Pelodiscus sinensis: one gene and its partners. The protein of the gene in region 3 binds, or shares a complex with, the protein of the main gene of each other region. Links are inferred from orthologs where the notes say so. Each region holds a gene or a part of one and is shown on either strand. Other genes may lie near its edges.

Evidence for each region.
Region 1: the proteins of RAB11A (region 3) and RAB11FIP2 are in contact, whole or in part, in a crystal structure (PDB 2GZD), measured with the Homo sapiens proteins. The link is inferred for Pelodiscus sinensis from reciprocal best matches to the Homo sapiens genes RAB11A and RAB11FIP2. Residues at the interface, in NP_004654.1 of Homo sapiens: Arg33, Ile44, Gly45, Val46, Glu47, Phe48, Ala49, Thr50, Lys61, Trp65, Arg72, Arg74, Ala75, Ile76, Ala79, Tyr80, Arg82; in NP_055719.1 of Homo sapiens: Glu478, Ile481, Asp482, Asn483, Leu485, Val486, Met489, Glu490, Pro493, Ser494, Leu496, Arg497, Val498.
Region 2: the proteins of RAB11A (region 3) and SH3BP5 are in contact, whole or in part, in a crystal structure (PDB 6IXV), measured with the Homo sapiens proteins. The link is inferred for Pelodiscus sinensis from reciprocal best matches to the Homo sapiens genes RAB11A and SH3BP5. Residues at the interface, in NP_004654.1 of Homo sapiens: Tyr8, Asp9, Tyr10, Leu11, Lys13, Glu35, Phe36, Asn37, Leu38, Glu39, Ser40, Ser42, Thr43, Ile44, Phe48, Lys58, Gln63, Trp65, Tyr73, Ile76, Ala79, Arg82, Gly83; in NP_004835.2 of Homo sapiens: Asp42, Ile45, Gln46, Leu49, Glu50, Asn53, Thr56, Ile59, Asn60, Glu63, Thr64, Glu67, Lys240, Tyr243, Leu247, Leu250, Glu251, Ile253, Ser254, Asp255, Ile257, His258, Arg261.

Annotation. Positions count from the first base shown.
Region 1 is NC_134718.1:60,112,781-60,119,989, forward strand, and holds the start of RAB11FIP2 (rab11 family-interacting protein 2), read left to right. Parts: upstream 1-4,209; 5' UTR 4,210-5,722; coding exon 5,723-6,075; intron 6,076-7,209. UniProt on the Homo sapiens protein: A Rab11 effector binding preferentially phosphatidylinositol 3,4,5-trisphosphate (PtdInsP3) and phosphatidic acid (PA) and acting in the regulation of the transport of vesicles from the endosomal recycling compartment (ERC) to the plasma membrane.
Region 2 is NC_134712.1:181,694,543-181,701,985, reverse strand, and holds the start of SH3BP5 (SH3 domain-binding protein 5), read left to right. Parts: upstream 1-4,443; 5' UTR 4,444-4,580; coding exon 4,581-4,661; intron 4,662-7,176; coding exon 7,177-7,239; intron 7,240-7,443. UniProt on the Homo sapiens protein: Functions as a guanine nucleotide exchange factor (GEF) with specificity for RAB11A and RAB25. Inhibits the auto- and transphosphorylation activity of BTK. Plays a negative regulatory role in BTK-related cytoplasmic signaling in B-cells.
Region 3 is NC_134724.1:5,321,889-5,329,559, forward strand, and holds the start of RAB11A (ras-related protein Rab-11A), read right to left. Parts: upstream 3,014-7,671; 5' UTR 2,916-3,013; coding exon 2,876-2,915; intron 1-2,875. UniProt on the Homo sapiens protein: The small GTPases Rab are key regulators of intracellular membrane trafficking, from the formation of transport vesicles to their fusion with membranes.

The DNA of each region.
Region 1 (7,209 bases), on a different chromosome or scaffold from region 3:
TTTGGATAAAGAATAACAATTGGTGTGACTTTAAAAATGAACAATTATTACAGAATTATAATGGTTAGCAATGTTGTGGAGAATGAGAATGTCTGTCAGGCTACGTCTACACTCATGGCTTATTGCGCAAGAACATCTTGCGCAAGTGTTCTTGTGCAAGAACTCTTGCACAAGAAAACGTCCACACTGCCATGTGCGAGCTGTGTTTTTGCACAAGAGCGCCCATGGCAGTGTGGATGCTTTCTTGCGCAAGAAAGCTATGAAGGTCATTTTAGCCTTAGGGCTTTCTTGCACAAGAAATCCCTGCTGAGCGTCCACACAGCCCTCTTGTGCAAGAGCTCCTGTGCAAGAGGGCTTATACCTGTCAAAAAAGAGCGTAGCTCTTGAGCAAGGAGCCCCCTTTACCACGCCGTACTGTAAATTTACTTGCACAAGAGCAGGCGGGCAGTGTGGACGCTCTGCAGATTCTTGCACAAGAATGGTCATAGTTGTGCAAGAAGCCATGAGTGTAGACATAGCCTTATTGTTTATAAGTGTCATAAGGTCCTCAGTTTACCTGTGTGATAAGATCCTCCCTGCCATTACAGAGTTAACTAAAAGGAGGCTGTAAGGAGGAACTCGCCAGAAAACAAAATACTGACCAAGACAAGGAAGTCTTGCCCTGTAACGATTATAGTTACAATTAAAACAGTCTTAATTCTCACGTGCACCATCTTTCTCTATTAATTCACTCTTCTACATGTGCTTGGCCCAAGAGATCAGTATTTAAATAAATCTATAGGATTCCAAGAGTTGTGGCAGAATTCTGTAATTTTCAGTAATTTTTAATACCCTCTCTGCTCTCACCCAGGGAACCGACAATGCATCTCTAATTCCACATCAGAGTTGACACTTCAGCTGCCCCAGCAAAAGAAAACACTCTCCTTTTACACTTGGCTGCTCTGAGACCATTCCATTCTTCTGTTTCATTTCCGATTGCATGCAGAACAGTACTTATTGAAGAGGATCAACACATTTGTCTGTACTTGTAGAGGTAAGCGAATTTATTGTGGCAAATAATGTATTTGATGAATGAATTTCTCTATGGTTTCTGTTTGCAAATTGAAAAGTTTGCAATTTTTGCATTATTTGGAATTGTTTGCCAGGTAATTTTGGTGAGAAATGTTTGGTCAGCAGATCACTGGTACCTATCTGCTTGAAACTTTGGATTATTGGGTGATACATGTTATTTCTGAGGGGACACAGGTTACAGGGTATACTTTTATTCCTGATTGGATGGCCAGCGCTCTTAGTGTCTGTACAAATACTCAAGCTTCAAATTCTGTTTCTGTTATCTATACTTGTGAAAGTTATAATCAAGGTGTTCACAAGATCCCAAAGAATCTTCTCCCTGCCTCCAAATCAGCCAACTTTTTGCAAAATAGCATTGCCATAGTCTTCTCATCTTACCCTTTCCCCTATGCGTTACCTATCAGATCCTCTGCTTTTTAATATCCTTGATGAATTTCCTTGACCATTCATCCCTTCATGTTCCTTATGTCTTTCCATCCCCACTTAAGTATTTGCCATATCTAAGAGATGATCACCGGAGATGATGAAGGGGGATGTAGGAGAGGCAAAGAAGGAGCATGTGTGTGGAAGAGCTGCTCATCCTGAACAACCAATGTGCAGCCTTAATTCCAATGTCAAATATATTGCACTTTAACTAATAGATATGCAGGATAATAGTTGTAATTTACACTCCAAAATTAATACCAAATTTATTACAATAAATGTTCCAATAATGAACATGGACGATCCTTTTAACTTTTTTTTTCAACATTACAAAAAATATCTTGCAGCTTACACCAACAGAAAACTACGTACACAGTGATTTATGAAGGACACACCAACCATGTTTAATCATCAGTACAAATAGATAGTCTACAGTCAGAGTTCAAGAGTACCAGTAGTTGGTTCAGTATTGGTGGGTTTGTGTTGGTAGGACATAGTTTAGCAACCAAAATGTGTCTGTCAGATATTCAGTTTAGCATCCATAACATGTCTGCATGTGTATTTAGAAATATAGCTAATATCTGTAGCACACAGAAGTCTCCTGTGGGATAATACCATTCAAATTATATACAGTAGAACCTCAGAGTTAAGAACACTACAGGAATGTTTGTAACTATGAAATATTTGTAACTATGAACAAAACATTATGGCTGTTCTTTCAAAAGTTTACAAATGAATATTGACTTAATACAGCTTTGAAACTTTACTATGTGAAAGAAAAATGTTTTTACCGTCTTAATTTAAATGACACAGGCACAGAAACAGTTTTCTTACCTTGCCAAATCTTTTTTTTTTTTATAAACTTTTCTTTAGTTTTTAGATTATATTTAACCCAGAACTCTACTGTATTGGTTTTTATTTGTTTTGTTTCTGCTATTGCCTGATTGCCCACTTCTGGTTCCAAATGAGATGTGTGGTTGACTGGTCACTTGTAACTCTGTTGTTCATAACTCGGGTTCTACTATATTTCCAAACAATTTATACTTATTTTTGCTAATTAATTTAAATTAAATGGCGTGGTGAAGGTTGGGAAATGAGATTTCAGAGTTTCTTGAAACAGACTGCAAAATCTTGAATCACAGGAGTGAAAATTTTGAAAACTTCCTTTAAAATGGCAGACATGCATGACAGGTTTGGACTAGTTGTACATCTAGACTTGTTCACCATGTGTGGACTCTGATTGCTAACGCAGAACTGGTGACATATTGGGTAGTGTCAAAATGCTAAGACAATCTGAATGATCTATATATCAAGAAATTGTATTTTAAATGTTTTTATTTAAATATGTAGCATGTCTCCTTTCAGTTGCAAGAGTTTTTTTCATAGAATTATAGAAAGAACAGATAGGGCTGAAAGGGTCCTTGAGAAGTCATCAAGTCTAGCAAACTCTACCAAGTCAGGAACAACCTATACCAACCTTGGAAGGTGTTTGTTCAACCTGTTCTTAAAGATCCAATGATGAAAATTCTACAACCTCTCCTGGAAGCTGGTTCCGGCACTCAACTATGCTTGTGTACTGAAAGTCTTTTCCTGGTATTGATCCTACATTTTCCTACTTACAGCTTAAGCCCATTATTTTGTGTCCTGTCTTCAGCAGGCCAGAAGAGCAAATTATCATTATTCTCTTGAATAAAAGTGTTCCATATATTTGAAAACTCTTAATAGACTATCTGTCCCCTACCACCCGTTTTCTTTTCTTACATTTCAAACATTATTTTAAAATTAAGCACAGCCTGGAGTCTCTCCTCTCTTCCAGAAAATGGTGCTTTCAGCTTCAACCCAAGGCTGTGTCTAGACTGGCCAGTTTTTCCAGAAAATCAGCCACTTTTCCAGAAAAACTTGCCAGCTGTCTACACTGGCCACTTAAATTTCTGCAAAAGCACTGACTTCCTACTGTAAGAAATCAGTGCTTCTTGCGGAAATACTACGCTGCTCTTTTGCGAAAAGGGGCCAGTGTAGACAGCTCGGATTTGTTTTCCGCAAAAAAGCCCTGATCGCTAAAATGGCGATCTGGGCTTTTTTGCGGAAACGTGCGTCTAGATTGGCACGGACGCTTTTCCGCAAAAAGTGCTTCTGCGGAAAAGCATCTGTGCCAATCTAGACGCTCTTCTCCGAAAATGTTTTTAACGGAAAACTTTTCCGTTAAAAGCATTTCTGGAAAATCATGCCAATCTAGACGTAGCCCAAGATATTGGGGGTGGAGGGGTAGAGGGAAGGTGCAGGAGATTGGAATTTCTTCCTCCCCTGGTTTGAAATAGGAGGCATTCGAACCCCAGCCGCCCATGCTTAGAGGACCCCTACTGCACCCCAGTGATGGCTTCTTGTGCCTCTAAAAATAATAGGGAGTTTTCTTTCTTTCCCCCTAGCCAAGATTAGGGGGCTTTCCTCTATCTTCCCACTAATAGTCCAAGGTGCCCCCTCACCCCCAGGAGCGGGTTCCTCTATTCTCCCTCTCCTCCGATGTTGGGGTGAATTCTTCTGCCCATAAATAAGGGATCCGTCTTCTCTATGACTGCTCGGGAGTCCCCCCAGGGTGAGGGGCCCCGCTTCCCCCGCAGCCAGGCGTGAGCGGGCCTCGCTCCCTGCAGCCAGGCCCGGAAGCTCCGGAGCAGGGTGGGGTTTGGCGGAAAGGCTCGGGGCTCTCAGGAGCCGGGCCGGATTGAACCCTGCCCCCTGCCCTCTGACCGCCGCGGAGGCAGCCGCAGCGGAGGGAAGGCGGAAGCGGCAGCGCCGGGCTCGGCAGCAGCAGGCCGAGCGCCGCAGACTCTGCGGGCGGAGGGGGGGCGGCGTCAGTGCGGGAAGCGAGCGCGCCGCGAGCCGCCGGGCACGCTCGTCCGTCCGCCGCCGGGGAGCCCAGCCTGGCACCGCCGCGCTCCAGGGGCCGCCCTTCGCCGCTGGGGACGGAGGCGCCGAGGCTGTAAGGGGCCGGGGGAGGCCTGCGGGGGCGGGGGCAAAGCGACCCTGGCCAGCGGCCGGGGGGAGGGAGAGGACCGCAGGGCTCCTCACAGCCGGGCAGGGAGAGGACCCCAGGGGCAGTCTGAGGGAGGGTCTGAGCGGGGAACCCTGGGGGCTTCCCAGATTTGGGAGGGGGGAGTCAGAGGGGACCCTAGGGGCTTCCCAGATTTCGGGGGGTAAGATGGTAAACTAGAGGGTTCCCAATTTTTTTTGGGGGGGGGTGGTAAAATGGCACACTAGAGGGTTCCCAGATTTGGGGAGGTAAGATGGTAAACGAGAGGGTTCCCAGATTTGGGGGGGAGGGTAAAATGGCACACTAGAGAGTTCCCAGATTTGGGGGGGGGGTAAGATGGTGCACTAGAGGGTTCCCAAATTTTGGGGGTTAATATGGTACACTAAAGAGTTCTGAGATTTGGGGGGGTAAGAGTATGCTAGGGGGTTCCCAGATCTGGGGGAGGGAGTAAGAGGAGACCCCTAGGGATTTTCTAGATCCACGGAGAGGTGGTACAAAGGGGGCTTTGCAGTTTTGAGGGGAGGACTAAGCAAGGTGATCCTGGGCTACCCAGCACCCAGTGGAACATGGTGGGAGAGGAGAGTGCTATGAAGGGGACCTAGGACTGAACATGCAGGGCTGATCTATATGGGAGGGTATGTTGGGGCTTCTGGGATGATGTGCGGTAAGGGAGGGACCAGGGAGTATTTAGCCCTGGAGGGAGTTTGCGAAGCAGAAGAGAGACAGGCTACAGTTGGTTACAAACCTTGAAACCTCATTCCTTTATTTATCTCACCCTGGGCCCCTTTCTTCTTGCAATGAGGTAGGAACAGTACATTAGAAGGCCTTGCAGGGAATGGGAAATTTTAAAGTTCAGGGTTGTCTTTACAGGAGTTGGGAGTTGGGGGGTGTTTTTTTTTAATGATGTGAGGGGGGAAAACTGAGTAAAGAAGAGTTCATTAATTGTTGTGGAAGAAAAAGAATATATGAGTGATTTTTTTCTATTTTTAAAATTAGTAATAGAACTGAAGGTGTTACTTTTTTGGAGGGAAAATCTAAGCAATGGTTAGTGTGTCTCAAAAAAACAAAAACAACCAAACTCAGTACTGAGAGAAATAACGCTGGGACTTTCATAGATATCCCTACTTTAAGTGCACTTATGCAGTAACTAGAAGATTTAGAAACTTTATTGTGTTGCTACAACTACTGAACTCTTCAAAGATGATGTTGGCAGAGCAAGCCCAGACGTGGTTCCCAACCCACGTACAGGTTACAGTTCTTCAAGCCAAAGATCTGAAGCCAAAAGGCAAAAATGGCACCAATGATACCTACACTATCATACAACTGGGCAAGGAAAAATACTCCACCTCGGTGGCTGAGAAGACCTTAGAACCAGTCTGGAAAGAAGAGGCATCATTTGAGCTCCCTGGATTACTGATGCAGGGGAATCCAGAGAAATACATTCTTTACCTGATTGTCATGCACAGGTCGCTGGTGGGCCTGGATAAATTTTTGGGACAGGTGGCAATAAATCTTAATGATATATTTGAGGACAAGCAACGAAGAAAAACAGAGTAAGTGATGTTTTGTATTACAGTTTTTTGGGTTTCTTAAGTATGTGGTTCTAGATCAGAAGCCTTATAGCTACAATAAAATTAATTGAAACTAATAGGTATAATAGATTATGTGGCTCATAAGCCTCTGTCATACAATGAGCTCTTCAAAGGAGTATCCTCATTTAAATCAGTAGGTTTTCCTGTGATTACACATGCCCATCTGGACAGAGTAGGACTATAGATAATAAAATTATCTACAATAATTACATTTTTTTTAACATTAGCTTCTTACAGTCCATTTTTTTCATACTCATCAGTTGTAAAACCATTTTCAACTTGTGCAACACAATTTAGACTATATATTTCCCAGATCTGGGAGGAGGAGAGGAAGGGGAAGTAAGTCTGAATATAGTCCAACTCAAGCAATGTCTAGTATCAACCAATGTAATGTAGTGTTAAGTGTTCATATTCTGCAAAACTGACTCTTAAATTTTCCGTATTATTTAGTGCTGAATGAACGTTGTCTAAATTAAGGTTTACCACTAGTGTACTGTGTACTTTTCTGATTAGAGTTTTAGGTATTGAGCCTGCAAACTGTTCTGCACTGCAGGCCCAGACAGAGAAGCTTGTTAGGGTAAGGTTTGGGCTTTAGCGATGAAGTGGAGTTGGTCTGTTCTTATTAGTCCAGTTCCTAGAAGTTTCTTCCACTTTAGTAGCCTTCAGCAGCAGATATTCTTTTGTTAAATAAAACTATAATTGACCAACAAATTCTGCAACTAGAACTTAAAGGAAAGAATGCAGAAGTTAATAAATATCATTTTGCATAGTATGTGTACTATATATTTAAAGACTGAGTATCCTAAGACCTGGTGAACATCCTCTTTTTTTTTTTTTTTTTTTTTTTTTTTTTTGTACTGGTCTAATTTTTTTGTATTAGGGTGTGTGTTTTTTAACTGACGTAGTTAAATTGGTTCAACCCTTGTGTGGACCCAATTATATTTGTATAGTGTGGGTTATTTTTCTAAATATACAGGAATAAATTGTATTTGTTTAAGTACCTTTGTACTGATACAGATATATCTACATTAGAGGTCATATAGCTTTAAATGGACCAGTCCAAACGAGTATAGTTAAATCAGTCTAAAAACAGTG
Region 2 (7,443 bases), on a different chromosome or scaffold from region 3:
CAGATACATGAGCATTCTTTGTTTGAAAAAACCCTCTCAGATCTCCTCCCACAAAATATAAAAGTCTATGTCTGGGAGACCCAATAATGTGGTTTGGAAACTTCCTGTGAAAGTTTTCCTCTTTTATAACTAAGCCTGAACAGCTCCCCTATACAGCTGAATAGCTTCTTTATTCCAGGATCTCTAGTAAGTAATGGGGATTGTACTCCAATAATTATGATAGTAGAGCAACATAACTAGGCTGTAGTGTGATTTAGTTACTCCCAAAATAACTCAGATGACCATTGGTTCCTCCATATGTACATTGTTCTGTAACTGTCTATGAGTAAGGCATTGATACATTAAAACTGTAGTCCTTAGCTCGTGTGGCTGGCTGGTATGGAAGGGCTGCAGTTCCCTTCTGGTTCCCAGGATTTTTGACCATTACCGAGGATGCACAGGAGGACTCAGAATGATGCTCATTGCTTGCTTTCTCTGCTCTTGGTTGTCAGGGGCCTAAGTAAAGTCATGGGCCATAACACAGATGGGAGGTTGTTTTGCCCCTAGATGTCACTGGTGAAAGGCACACATGTGGTTATCCTAAACTTCTTAGATGAATTTTACAATCCGCAGTGTTGCTCCTGTCAAGGAACAGCCTGCCATGATGTGTAACCATTGATTCTCCAGCCTGCTCACTCCGGAGTCCAATTAGTAAGAAAAAACACCCCTTCCCACTGCCCTAATTACCCAATGCTCAGTTCTCACAATATTTCATTCTAAGGATCAATGTTTTTGTAACACTGATTTAACAGAAAGCAAACACTTTATGTTGTCTAATGTCTCAGTCAGTCATCTTTAGGTGTGCATATAGGATTGTGGGTGATGCATCTAGCAAAAAATCAGCATACTTTACTCTTTTCTTTAGGTTCTGACCATTAGCGTATTGTGAAGGAACACTCTGACATGGTGAAGATAATACCCTGCTGCAATCACCTGGAATTTACCTTTTGTGCCACACGGAGCAGGAAGGCTGTCTATATATGGAACATGAACATTACAAAGTTATTTCTGGGGCCGTGTTGCCTTTTATACATGTGATAGCAATTATTTCTGGTGTGGATAAAAAATACTATTCAGAAATGATATCCTGATTCTTCTGTTGATATGCATGTGCACTACACCCCTCTTCTGTCAAGTCCCTTCCTAAAATCCTACTTCTGTTTAACCATTTCAGGGATAATCTGGCAGACAGAAATGTTTGGCAAGCACAATCTTCAGTGTTTTGAAATTATCTGATCAATAGATGTATTACAGCTGCATGTAGTGTCTAACTGATAGCTGTCTGAATTGTTTTGTCTGTCCGTTTTTATTGGAACGTCTCATCTGTTAAATAGCTGAGCATACAAATGGTTTTCTTTAAATGATAATTTTACAAAATAAGTGTGATCCAAAATAAATAAAATCTAAATATTTATGTACTCAGGCAGGATGGTGATGCCATCACATAAGGTACTTATATCAATAGCAAGCATAATTTAGTAACAAAGGGACAACTTATCTTTCGCATTGTCGTTTTTTCTTTTTATTCTGTATAGGATTCTGTACCCTGGGCATCATTCTGTCATCTGGTAGCTTTCATAGGGACAGCAGGAGCAGAGACCTCACTCAGATGGCCTAGCATGTTTTCCAGGAGAGGAGAATGAAACCTAAGCAGTGACATTCCCCCATACCTAACCTATAGAAGCCTGCCCTACAGGGGGTAGCAAAACTGAAGAAGATCCATGTTAGTTTCTTTCAGTTTCCACACAACCCCATGGGGAAAATAGTAGTGGGAATTTTGGGTCTGTCAGCATTAACTCTGTTTCTGCTCTGGGCTTTGAGACAGTAGGCCAGGATGGCTTCACAGGGAGCCAGGTTGCCATGGGAATGAGAGGGCTGGATGACTGTCATGAAAGATATCTGACACAGATGTTGTGAAATCTGTGGGGTTTTTCTCTGTAGATTTCCTTAATTTGCCTCAGTAGGCATTGTGAGAGCTCAGCATTTCTTAGGATCAGGCCATAACTGTTTTTCTTTAATGAAATAATAAAATAAAAATGACAAAGCTTTACACCATACAAGTCTGTCTTGCCATCTTCAAATAGTCCAACTATGATTTGTTGCTGTGTTTGCTTTTATGCAGCGCCTCGCCTCCTGTTCTCATTGTTTTAGGCTGTTGGTGTCACTTCAAAGGTGTATGATATTTTAAAATGTTTACCTGCCCACTCTTTTTTCTTTGCTGCTTTATGATGTATAAAGAAGGCTTGACCATTATTTGTAATGTCTACTTTTTCACCTTTTAAATCTCAGGAAAATTATTTTGTATTTTTTCTTGTTTTGGTGGAAGAACAGAGAATGGGAACTTGCCCAGCCTTCAGTTATAGGAGTGGTGAATCTCTCACAAAGAAAGTGACTTTCACAAGATCCATCCATTTTTTAAGACTCTGCAGGCTGTAAAATCAAAAGGAAATTAAAGAATTAGTTACCTTAAATTTGGTTAAGGAACTATGTACTTGTGTGTGTGTAAAGAAAGACCCTGATTAACAAGCAGAAGGAAGGCCTTGAAAATAATAAGGGGTTGTGTTCACATACAACACTGCAGTGACACAGCTGCACCACTACAGCACTTGAGTGAAGATGCTGCTGTGCTGATGAGAGAGGTTTTACCCTTGGTATAGTTAATTCACCTGCCAGAGAGTCAGTAGCTTTGCCAATGGGAGATGCTTGTGTGCCACTGCTTCGGCTATATTTACCTGTGCCTCAGCAGGTACCAGTGATCGCAGCTCCCAGCTGGCTGTGGATCCCTGTTACCAGCCAAAGGGAGTGGCAGAGTGGGACACTACTTCCCACAACTCCCATTGGCCAGGAGCTGGGATTCCCCAAAGTCAATATAGTGGTGGGGATCCACCAGAGGCTAACTATGGTGAACAGCATCCAGCCTAGGGGCCTGTATGAGACGTTAACTTTACTGTCTTCTCATTCGAGTTAAGATGCTAATCCTGCAATAAACTCAGGACTAAGGGGCTGTGTCTACATTGGCACCCTTTTCCGGAAAAGGGATGCTAATGAGACCAGTCGGAATTGCAAATGCCCCAGGGATTTAAATTTTCCCTGCGGCATTTGCATGAACATGGCTGCCGCTTTTTTCCGGCTCGGGGCTTTGCAGGAAAAAAGCGCCAGTCTAGACAGGGATCTTGCAGAAAATAAACCCTTCTCTGGAAGATCCCTTATTCCTACTTAAAATCAGGAATAAGGGATCTTCTGGAAAAGGGTTTATTTTCCGCAAGATCCCTGTCTAGACTGGTGCTTTTTTCCGGCAAAGCCCCGAGCCGGAAAAAAGCGGCAGCCATGTTCATGCAAATGCTGTGGGGAAAATTTAAATCCCCGGGGCATTTGCAATTCCAACTGGTCTCATTAGCATCCCTTTTCCGGAAAAGGGTGCCAATGTAGACACAGCAAGGGAGTAACTAATCAAATACCCAACAGCTCCCCACCATGCTTTGAGCTAATAGCTTTATTTCCACACACCACCCCCGATGAGGTTCCTTTTTTTGCTGACGCAATGAGGCCACACACTTCGTTTGTTTGGGTGGAGTCTGTTTGTTTTTGCTGCATGCACCAGATGCAAACTTGGCTGGCTCAGCTGAGGCGCACTCCAGCAACCGGGCTTTGATTTGATTTGCCGGGCTTCTCAAAGAGCGTTGCAGAAAACCTTGCCACCCGCAGAACTTTCCTCAGCCCGCTGCTGGACAAAGACCCGCTGATTAATTGGCCCTTCCCTGCACCTGCAACGTAACAGCATTGTTTGCGGTCCGGCTGATGTCACAAATAGGTGCCTTTGCAAGCGAGAGGCGTTGCAAAACCATTCAGATCCTGTTTTCACCGGGAAGTACTAAATAACAAAACCCCAGCCCCGTGCGGACCACGCGTGACAGGCACCGCTGTGACACTGGCCTTCCAAGGGTGCTGCAAGGCTTCAGCTGCGGGCAGGAGAGGGGGGGGGGGTGAGAAGGTGTCACTGCTGCTTTTGGACTAACTCCCGCTGGGGCTGCCCTTCCCCATTCAGGGCTAATCCCGCTATCGCCAGCAAGGGGTTGGCGGGCTGGGCTCTCTTATCGCGGCTGTGCAGAGCCCGGCCCATGGCGGCGATAGCAGCTAGGCTCGGGCAAGCTGGCCCGCCCCGCCCGCAGCGCGGCACCTTTGCAAAGCACCCCCTTGCCCAGGCCTGCTCGGGAGCTTGCCACGTGCAAAGCAGCCGCACAAAAGGGACGCGAGACACAGCAGGCGGCTGCTCCGGGCTGTCAAGCAGCCGCGGGGCCCGGCATGTCTAGAGGGGAGGAGGAGGGGGAATGGGGGCGGGGAAGCTGCTTTCGCCCGCTGATTCGGCAGCCTGGCGCGGGGGGGCGGGCTGAGGCCGGCCGGCGGGCGGGGCGGGCAGGCTGCGAGGCGGCGGCGGGCAGTGGGCGTGGGGAGGCGCTTTTCCTCCGCCCGGCACCTCTGCGGGGCCCCTTTCCCCGCGGCCAGCTGCTGCTGCAGGCGGAGGCCGGTCCGAGCCCGGCCCCATGGAGCCCGCGGGCCGGAGGAGCCGGCCTGAGGAGGGGGATTTCCCCGAGGAGGAGGAGGAGGTGGATCCCAGGATCCAGGTGAGCGAGCCCCGGGGATGCTGCTGCTGCGCGCGGGGAGCCCGCACGCGCGGGGCGGACAATGCCTGCGCCCGGGGCCGCGGGCCTCCTCGGCGGGGTGGGGCTGTCTCCGCGCGGCGCTGCGGTCGCTGCCTCGCCATCCCTGCACGGGTCTCCCGGGGTGCCCCTTCTGCTATCTCGCCCCTCCCCAGCGGGGCGGGCAGCCGCTGTGCCTCTGCCTGCTGAGCTCATTAGGTTTCTTCTGGGGTAGTTCTGCGGAAGGGTGGAGGCTGGAGCACCCGGTGCCTGGCTGCTCCCCTCGGGAAAGGGGGTTTAAAAGAGCCCCTTTCCCCTCCCCCCGCTTTGGGTCAGTCCGGTGCATGCGCTAGAGCCGAGCCAGCTGCCGCCTCCGATTTAACCCCCCCCCCCCCCACCCGGATTTGGCAGCATCAGAGCTGGAAGGGGGGAGAGGGGGCTTTTCTGAACCTTCCATGACTTAAAGCAACCTACCTGCTTTGCAAACCCAAGGGGGAACCTCCTGTGATATTCTGCACATTGCACAGGCTGCAAGAATACCCGAGGAGAGGTTTCTGTTCTGTGTGTGAGGGGGGGGCGGGGGAGGAGGTCTGCCTGCCTGCAGGCAAGGCAATGCAACTGTGATTTTCACCAATACCACTCATACACGGTATTTCTCAAAACGCTATACGATAGGTACAAGGCCAGAGCTGAATCATTTGTGGCTGTTGCTTTTAAGTAAAGTTGGAGGTGGGGGTGGGGAACAAAACACGGTTGAAGCTGATACCTGAAATAAGGTGGTGGTGGTGGAGGGTGGGTCGTGGTCTCAGGTTGGTGCCTGCAAAGGAGCAAGGGCATTTGTGAAGTTCAACTAGCATAATTTTAAGATGTGAATACTGGTTGTTTACGATTATTATATTTTTCCATTAAAATGTTTGGTACCATGACTCTCTTCCTTTCATTTAAATTAAAATTCTGACCATTTTGCATTTTTTGGGGGGGAATTTAAAAAAAAAATCAAACCTTTCTTTAAACCTAGGAGGGGATTACATTATTAATAGTTTAACAAAGGTATGATTTTAATTGGAAGGGGAAACACAGGCTTGAAATTTAAAACCTTGCTTTCCTTTTGCATGTGCTTTTAATATGCTCCTGAATCTCTCTCTTTATAACCAGAGTTCTCTATTTTCTTCCCTTCACAGTTCAAATTCATGCCCTGACCAACTTCTTGACGGAAGGGTCAGTGTGGCCCTATCCTGGAAAGATAGGCAAAAAGGCTTAATTTTATGCACCAAGTATTCCCTTAGTGGGTTTTCTGGCTGTGTGTAAAGTTAAGCACATGTAGGAGTCTTTGCAGGGTTGAACCTAGACTTGTAATTACTCTTATCTTGTATCTTGCTCTTTGCTGGAGCTGTAGAAATTTGTGGCAAAATTTTCAAATGTGGGTGCCTAAAGATAATCCTGATTCTGTGAACACTTAATGTTTAAGTGGCCTAATTTTTCAGCAACTGAGGCGTGCTAGCTCCCATTTACTAACATTTTGGATTACTTTTTATTTGGAATATGGCTCCATTTGTCTAATCAACACTGGGAATCTGACTGCATGCTGTTAATGAAATTGTTTGTTTTCTTACATCTGACTAAATGTCTGTTGCTTTAATTTTTGTGGGACAAAACCTTCTTACCTTGATAACAAAAAAGTAATTTAAATGTCTATTTAAAAACCATTATTGGAAAAATGTAAAAGTCTTTGAAGTCGTAGAAGTTTAAAATCAAATCTGACTTGTGTGGATAACACAGCTATATTATTAGAGCTAACATATATTTTAATTGTGACCAGATTAACTAATGTAATCTGTTGGACTCAATAGTTGATGAATTCCTGGTGGTGGTCCTTTAGTATGATTCAACACTAAGGGCTCAATTCTGATACGTTCTCCTTATGCAAGACAATTACTGTCTTGGCATGTGACTGTTTTTGTTATAGTGTTAATGCAATATATTCTAATCCTTGTTTTTGTGCCTTTAGCTATGTTTATAGCTCTTTTCCCTACCACCATGAAGACAAATGGCTTTGTCTTAAACTGTCACACTGGGAACTAGCTGACATTAGCCACATTCCTTTATGATACAGATTGTATGGAATATTTATTAATAAGAGTAACCCAAAGCAAGAAGCATATTTCATTAAAACTAGAATTTAAGTGACATTTCTCAGTGTTCTGCTACTTAAGAAAGAGACTTGTAAAGCCAAGAAGGGACCATCATCGCTTAGTCTGACCTCTGGCAGGCTGTGGGCACAGAATCTCACCCGCCCACTCATGTAATAGACCCATAACCTTTGGCTGAGTTCTTCCATATGTTGCATATCTCTGTTTTTCATTTAACATTCCAGCCCAGTGCCCTTATGTGCTTTCTTTGAGGGATGCCAGCAAGCACTTAATAGTACAGTACTTCTCTTTTCTCTGTCATGTTGATGTCTAATTTCTCAGAGCATACCTGTGTTTTTGCTCTTTTCTAGGGGGAACTGGAAAAGTTAAATCAATCCACAGATGACATCAATCGAAGAGAAACTGAACTTGAGGTAAAGAGCAGCACCTCTTAACTTCCTTTTGTGTAAAAACAGGTTTCTGTGAGAAATCTCTTCATTTTACTTGGTGCAGGCTTATCTGGTTCTTGGTGGCAATTTTACATCTAGTATCTAATGAATGACTCTGGAACAGTAGATATCTGGGTTAGGGATATAAATAGTATGGTCGATTAATTGATTTACCAATAAGCAAAAACG
Region 3 (7,671 bases):
AAGGTAGGAACACGAAGGGCAACACGCTGAGTAGGAACATGAAGGACAACAAGAAATGATAAAACCCAACTTTTGTAAGTCTCACAATGAACACTTGAACAGAGTCAGGAGATAGCCAAGTTGCAACAACTCCTCTGACTCACTTGTGACTCTGTTCTAGGTGGGCCTCTACCCTAAACACCAGCATTATCCACACAGATTTGGAGATAAGGTTCGCAGCCTGTGACATTGTCGAGGAGGATCTACAATGTTTGTTCTGCAAAGTCTGGTGATTTAATGGAAGGGGAGTGGGGGAGGAATAAAAAATATCATCCATGCTACTCTAAGTGATTGAACTCAGTGTCCTCATCCGTAAGACCTCCCTTATGCTCACTTCTTTCTTCTAGAGATAACATTTGGAATAGAGATGTAACCAGTTTATATAAATTTAATTTTTTTGTTTTTCCATACAGAAGACTTATCCCTTAATATGTCCACATAATACAATTTTTGTAGTGCTTGTAATTTAAGATGGTGGCTTAAATAATTCAGTGTAAACAGAAGTGTAACCAGGACAAGAGCATTGGATATACTTTTCTACAATTCAAAAGGCAAATGGATTGTAACCTTGCCAGATAACAATTGCTGCTGTAAACAGATTCCCTAACTTGGTTTTACTTGTTGTATACCTTTGCCCTGACAGATGGTTCTAATGATGGGAAAAAGCAAAAAGATGCTTTCTAAATGGAAGAACATACAAAAGTTCACTTAAGTTAAATATGGGGGGAGGTGGGGCAGGAAGGGAACCTTTACATTCTCCCTTTTGAGTTCCATCCCTCTATATGCTGTGACACATTTCAGAGCTGCTTTTCAATTACAAGGTATAAACTAATATTTTAAATCCAAGGCTCAATACATGCAGATTTTCATTATAGTATTACAGCAAGTGGCTATATCTAAAATATTTTCAAATAGGTGGTTTAAGTGATATCTTTAAAGTTTCACTGAGTGTTCTGCAGCACACCATTTCACTAGGTGTTTTTTCAGCACATCTTACTTGTGAACATTTGCAACAACTGCTGTTTCATTCTTCAGAAAGATAAATGTTAAAGGGCCCATTTGCTACATTCTGATGCATCTTTAACAAAACTTAGCTGAACCAAAATGAGAAAAAATGCACCCAGATCCTGGAAAACAAGGAATTTTTTTTCCTTCATCTTCCAGGAACTTTATGGAGTGACAAAACAGGAAGTGAGATCAGTGAGTGAGAGATAATGGTTACAACAACCACTGGAGCAGAGATTCACCACAATATGAGGCAAGTAATGCAAGATTTACTACTGCATGAAAGTAGTTGTGCTTAGGCTATGTCAACACCAGGAAAAGCATAAAAAATAACCCTGTTTAACCTGTGAACTGCAATAGGACTACTCTCCTACACAATCACTAGTTACTTTTATTCAACACATTTACTGTTCTTAGTTCAAGAGGTGAACAGTAGCACTGTACGAAGATCTGAAAGAGCCCATGATGGCTGTTTTATATTAAAACTGCTCCAAGATTTAGTTATAATTGGTCATTTTAGAGTAGGCATGTCCAAAAATAGTCATTCCTTACAAAGCTCACATGTCCAGTACTTAAAACAATACTCTGCAAGGCAAGACAACCTAAAAGGGTTTCTGGAGCTACATCTTTAGTGGTCAGTATTCAGCCTTCTTTGGGCAATAAGAACCTGACAACACAAGGCTCCTTCCAAAGCAGTTGGCTCTAAATAGCAGGTCTCAGTCTTAAGAGTTTGACTATACGATTAGACACTGAAATTTGAACATTAAATTACTTATTACACTATCAAATCAAGGAACAAGCACCTCTGCAAACCACTTCCTCTGTCCCACAAAAGAAAGCCAAGATCATGGTTTACTAAACCCTTAGAGAAATTAAAGACACTGAGGTTGCTTTGTAATGATGACAAAAATGGCTTCCAAAATAGTTTTATAGCAAAGCAACCTCTGGAATACACTTCACACAGGATAAAACATCCTCTCAGCCAAAATCAAATGCTGGGACACACAAACATTACCAACAAGATAAGTTTTGTCCCACTCCATGATGCTGGTAGGGTGAGGTCAGAAGATATTACAGAGGAGTCAAATCCAGGAATAGATATTTCAAATTTAGGGACCTGACAAAGACTGGAACACCCTTACATCTTGCACTTTTACAAGTTTGGTTCCAGAAGTGGGGGGGGCAGAGGGGAAGAGAGGGCTATTCTCCCACACACCCAGTCCATACATCAGGGTAGAGAACCAGCTGGCTGGTCCAGCTGAGGGAAATATTCCTCCTCCCCCCCCCCCCCCACACACACACACCCTGCTGGCCAGTTTGGGGGAGGGGGAGGGGGAGGAGAGAATGTGCCCATGCCTCTGGAGAAGGAGCCAGCCCAGTTGGGGGGAATGTTGCGTCCCCCATATCCAGGCCACACCTCAGGGGGAGGGGCCAGCCCAACTGGGGGGGTGGAATGTGCCCCCCACTTCCAGTCCACGCTTCGAGGGAAGCAGCCAGCCCAATGGGGGGAGGGAGGGAGAATAAGCCCCTCCCCACATCCTCACCTCCGGTTGGGGGGGGGGCTGGCTGTTCCTCCCACTCCCCGCTAGGCAGTTGGGGGGGGACGTGCCTCCCCATACACAGCCCACGCCTCGGGAGGAGGAGCGGACCCAGTTGGGGGCAATGCTGCCCCCCACCATATCCAGTCCGCGCCTGGGGGAGGGGCCGGCTCAACCGGGGGGGCGCCCCCCCCCCACCTCGTCCACGCCCTGGGGGACCGCTCCCCAGGAAACCCTCCGCGGGAGGCTCCGTCCTGGCGCGGAGGGCGGCAGGGCCCGGGCGCGCCGCTCACCTTTGAAGAGATAGTCGTACTCGTCGTCGCGGGTGCCCATGGTGCGCGCAGCCAGAGAGCGGGAGCCGCCGCCGCCGCACTGCCAGAGCCGGGACCCCTCCCTGCAGCCGCTGCGGCACTTCCGCTCTCGCGCCCCACCCGCCGGCGAACGGCTTCCGGGGTCACGCGGAGCACCACGCCCAGCGGCCGGGGGAGGAGCTTCGCCGCCCTGGCCCCGCCCACCGACGGGAGCGGCGGGTTGCCTCGCCAACCGCTCGCCAACCGCCTCCCCGCTGGCCGCAGGGGGCAGGCGCGTGCCGGGCTCTTGTCACGGGCTCGGTGTAACGCCCGCTCCCGCCACACACACGGGGCCCCGGCCCCTCGCGCTATGGGCCCGTAGCCTTGGCCACAGGGAGCTCTGGCCCGGCTGCCCCCCTTGTATCCCGGCTCTGCCCCCCACAGACCCAGGCGGGGCGCACCCCGGCTGCTCCCCTCGCTGGGACCCCAACCGCCAAGCGGGAGCCCGCCCAACCGCAGCAAGAACGAGAGCCCGCCCGGGCGCTACTTCGCCACGGCGGTTCCATGGTGTAATGGTTAGCACTCTGGACTCTGAATCCAGCGATCCGAGTTCAAATCTCGGTGGAACCTGAATTTTTTTTTTCTCGCCCTTCTCCAAGCTGCAGGTGGGACCCTCCCGCTCTGTCCTACTGGCATTGCACTGTTCTTTTCCCCGAGAGATCTAATTGTTGTCCATACAAATACATTAATTCTTATTGGATCTCTGTGGTCCCTTACCCAGCCCAAGTGCTTTGGGAGTTATTGGTTGCAATAACCCAGGCATGTCCAAAGTCCGGCCCGCGGGCCAATTGCGGCCCGTGTTCCGGTTTAATACGGCCCCCCAGGTAACTTGGCAATATCTATCTTTTATGGCCCCCAACGAATCCATATGTATTGAGATGAATACATTGTAAAATCTCAGTTAATGTCAGTTGGTCTAAATCAGTTATAAATATATTTGGACACAACATGTATACTTGGTGTTATGTTCCTGTTCATATTTTTGGAACTTAAAAGTTGACAGACAACCTTTATTACCAATAATATGCAATGTACTTTACAATGTTCCTGACATATTTCAGCTTCCTGGATTTTTTTTTCATCTGGCCTTCAGATATGAAAGGCAGAGTGATTTAACACCTGTTTAGATTTGTCATCCATGTGACGAAATGAAAAGTATGCCGTTTGCAATAAACTTTGCATAAAATAGTTAATTTGCATTTAATTTTAATGGTTCAAAGAATGTCAGGCAAAATGGTCGGCCCTCACGCATGTTCACTTCATCAAATCTGGCCCTCTTTGAAAAAAGTTTGGACACCCCTGCAATAACCAGTAAGGAGTAGAGTTCTTCTGTTACACTAATAATCATTAATACCAGGATCATTCGGTGTAGAATAATATTTAGGAGGAGACACCTGTAAAACTGTTCAGCTGTCTCCCTGCAAAGAGCAGCCTTGAATTAGGGCAGCGAGGAGACTCAATCAGGCTCACAAACCTCTCAGCAATAAGCACAGAGTGGGGCTGAAAGTAGCCAAGTTACAAGCAAATCAATGGTGAGCTGGAGTTTTGAGTCCCTGTGCTTAGGATAACCCGGATCCATGCAATACAAGTATTGCTAGGGAAAGACAAATTAAAAATGTGAATCTTTTACGTAACTTTCTTTGGCCTTGTGACTACCAAGCGCTCTGGATGCTTTTCATCAGTGATGGGCATCCTAAGTCAGTGAGTGGGCTGCATGAGTGGCCCTTCTCATCTTAGTGGGCAGAAAGACTGTCATAACCAAGACCATCTCCTAGGATAGGGTAGTTTTGCTAGCTGTGCTTGCATTCGGAGAATTTGCATGGTGTGCTGATTCAACTGTAGCAGCATTTTGAGTGGATGTACAGGGAGCGCACAGCTCTCAGTCAATGTTGCATGCACTCAGCATGCACCTCTTCACATGCCCTCGCTCTGTGTGTCACTTTAGTAATAGGAAGGAAAAAAACTAATGCAGATGGAACCCAGCAGAATCTGGCAACTGTGCATGGAGTACAGTAAACAAAATGTCTCATGGGCCACACATAGAACCCCATGGGTCACACGCAGGCCACAGGCTGCCCGCCACTGCTTAACACATAAGTAACTCATTGGCCACAGGGTGTGAACAACTTGGCATAGGAGTTTTACACGGTGGATTTTGTACTCTAGGTATGACCAAGCATGGGACTCTACCCAGTCAACTGAAGAAAATGGTCTCCATGTGTAGGAGTCTCCAGTGAGATGTCCAGGACTTGGCAGAACTATCACATCAGCAAGGGCAGTGAAGGTAAACTACCACTCCAGTCTGTGAAAGAGTTCACTATGTCGAGGAGGGCTCATGGTGTGGGGGCTTGAAGAGGAAAGCAAGTAGGACTGAGCCTTGTGTGTGAGGATCTCTGGAAATGTGCTGTGTCCACAGAGAGTGTTAAAAAAATCTAGAGCTATTTGGGAACAAAATGAACAGTCAGTGTGCTCCACTTCACATCACCTCAGTTCAAAGATTGGGTAGATTTTTGAAAACCCTGTCTTTAGTCTTGAAGATCTTACATCTAGTCTTTCTCCTGAAAAAAAAAACTGTTGGAGGGAGAAGTAGGTCATAAAGTTCTGCTTGGCAGGGGGAAACTCATTTAGCAGGAGGGAGCAGAAGAAGATACTCAAGCATTCGCTTGGGCTAAGGCAGAAACAGCTTTGAATGTGTCCTACATGATGTGAATAAAAATCTGGTACCACAATGTCCCTCTTACCACGGGATCAGAAAAAACACAGGTGAGCAAAGCTGTTTTGAGCACTTATCCAAAAATGCTGTTGGGAGAATGAGTGTTGCTTAAGGACTGTCTAATGTAAAGCGATGACACTTGGGTACAATCCCTGAAATTCTTATTTCATAGGGATTGGATTCAATTCTGTGGAAGTCAGTGAGAGCTTTGCCATTGACCTCCATGGCACAGTATTGAAACCAAGATGTGAGGAGTTAAAATGATACTAGTGGCCATATAATTGAACTGGAGCCTTTAAAATTTGTTCTTCCACAAGATTGCTTTTGGCAGTGGAATTGATCGGTTACACATCTGCATAATTAAGGGGAATGTTCTGATCTCACTTTATAGAAATGTAGCCCACCGGCATTAAGGAGAACTATGAATATCAAGCACCATTCATTGGGATAAGAAGAAACCCTTAATGGAATCTTTTGTTTATTTAAGAACATGCTGTTAAATTCACACCAATATGCGAACATTGAAAATAACACTGAAACATTGAAAATAAAAGATTGAGTGGAGCCATTGATTTGCAATAAAATAAAGTACATAATAGTTCATCCATTAAAGAAGAAGGATGCTCTATAATAAGGGCACTAGATCAGCCCTCAGGAGATCTAGGTTTCATTCCTTGGTCTACCACAAACTGCTTCTGTGACCTTGCGTGTCACTTAGTTTCCTCTGATATGTTTACATTGCAGTGAAAACTGCATAGCTCAGACACCAGGCTGTGGATTCAGGCTGATAGACTGAAAACTGCATTGTAGATGCCTGGGAGCTGAGGCCTACTTGCCTCATGAGATCATAGAGCCTAGGTTCTACACTGTAATGTCAGAGCCCTGCAAACTCAAGGCTGTTATCCTGTGCCACTCTCAGGTCTTTTATTGCAGGGTAGATTACTTTCGGTGCCGCAGGGCACAAGAGGTGATTTACATTTTTCCCTGTGAGTGCTCCATCCCTGGTCTGCCCCAGGACTCCCACTCCACTCTGCCCCTTTTCCAAGGCCCTGTCCATGCTCTGCCTCTTCCCACAGGCTCTCCTCTCCCTCCGCCCTAGCTCCAGCTCTTCCCACCCTCTCTATGCCCGCTCCCTTGAGCCAACCTGCCACTCCCTCCTCTCTGCCTCCTCTCCCCCAAGCATCTCCCACCTGACAAATAGCTCATTGGCGGCCAGCCCTGGGGCTGTCAAACAGCTGATCAGTGGCCAGTCCCAAGGCCAGAATCACTGGGGCTAGTGGGTGATGAGCACCCTCTATTTTTTTTCTGTGTGTGCTTGAGCTCTGGAGAACCCACCAATTAGGCACCTATTCCTGAGGGAATGTCCACGCTATAGAATGATGTCAATCTAAGGCTTTGGCCTTTTTTGTACTAACCCCCATCATCAATCAAATGTGTGTGACTTCAGCTACGCAAGCAGCATAACTGAAGTCGATGTATTTACTATGGCGTCTAGTGTACGGTAAGGTCAGTAGGGGTTGCTTTCCCAAGATGCCAGCTACTTTTCTTGTCTTGATGGAATACTGGCATTGATGAGAGAGCACTCATGGATTGCTTTATCATGTCTAAGCAGACATAATAAATCGACAACTGGTGGATCAATCATTGCAGTATCAATCCCCATCTATACATTCAGGTTTAAAGTCCTGTCACTACAGTGTGGTCATGGATAAACACCTCCTTAAGGGTACTAGCTAACAGTGCTGGGAACCCGTTTACACTGCAGCTTTACAGGGCTGTAACTTGCTGCACTCTGAGTGGAGGGTGTTTTTCCCTACCCCTGAGCAAGAAAGTTACCAGGACTAAGGTGCATACAGGATTGGGATAGCAGGAAGTGTGGCAAACCAAGAACAAGGAGCATTGACATAGGTTTGAAGGCAGCCAGGTTTGAATTATATGGGATACTTCATATAGGTAATGAAGGGTAGTAACATTATTGATGAGTATGTACTTCAGCACTGGAATAGCAGAGAATTCAGCAGTCTAG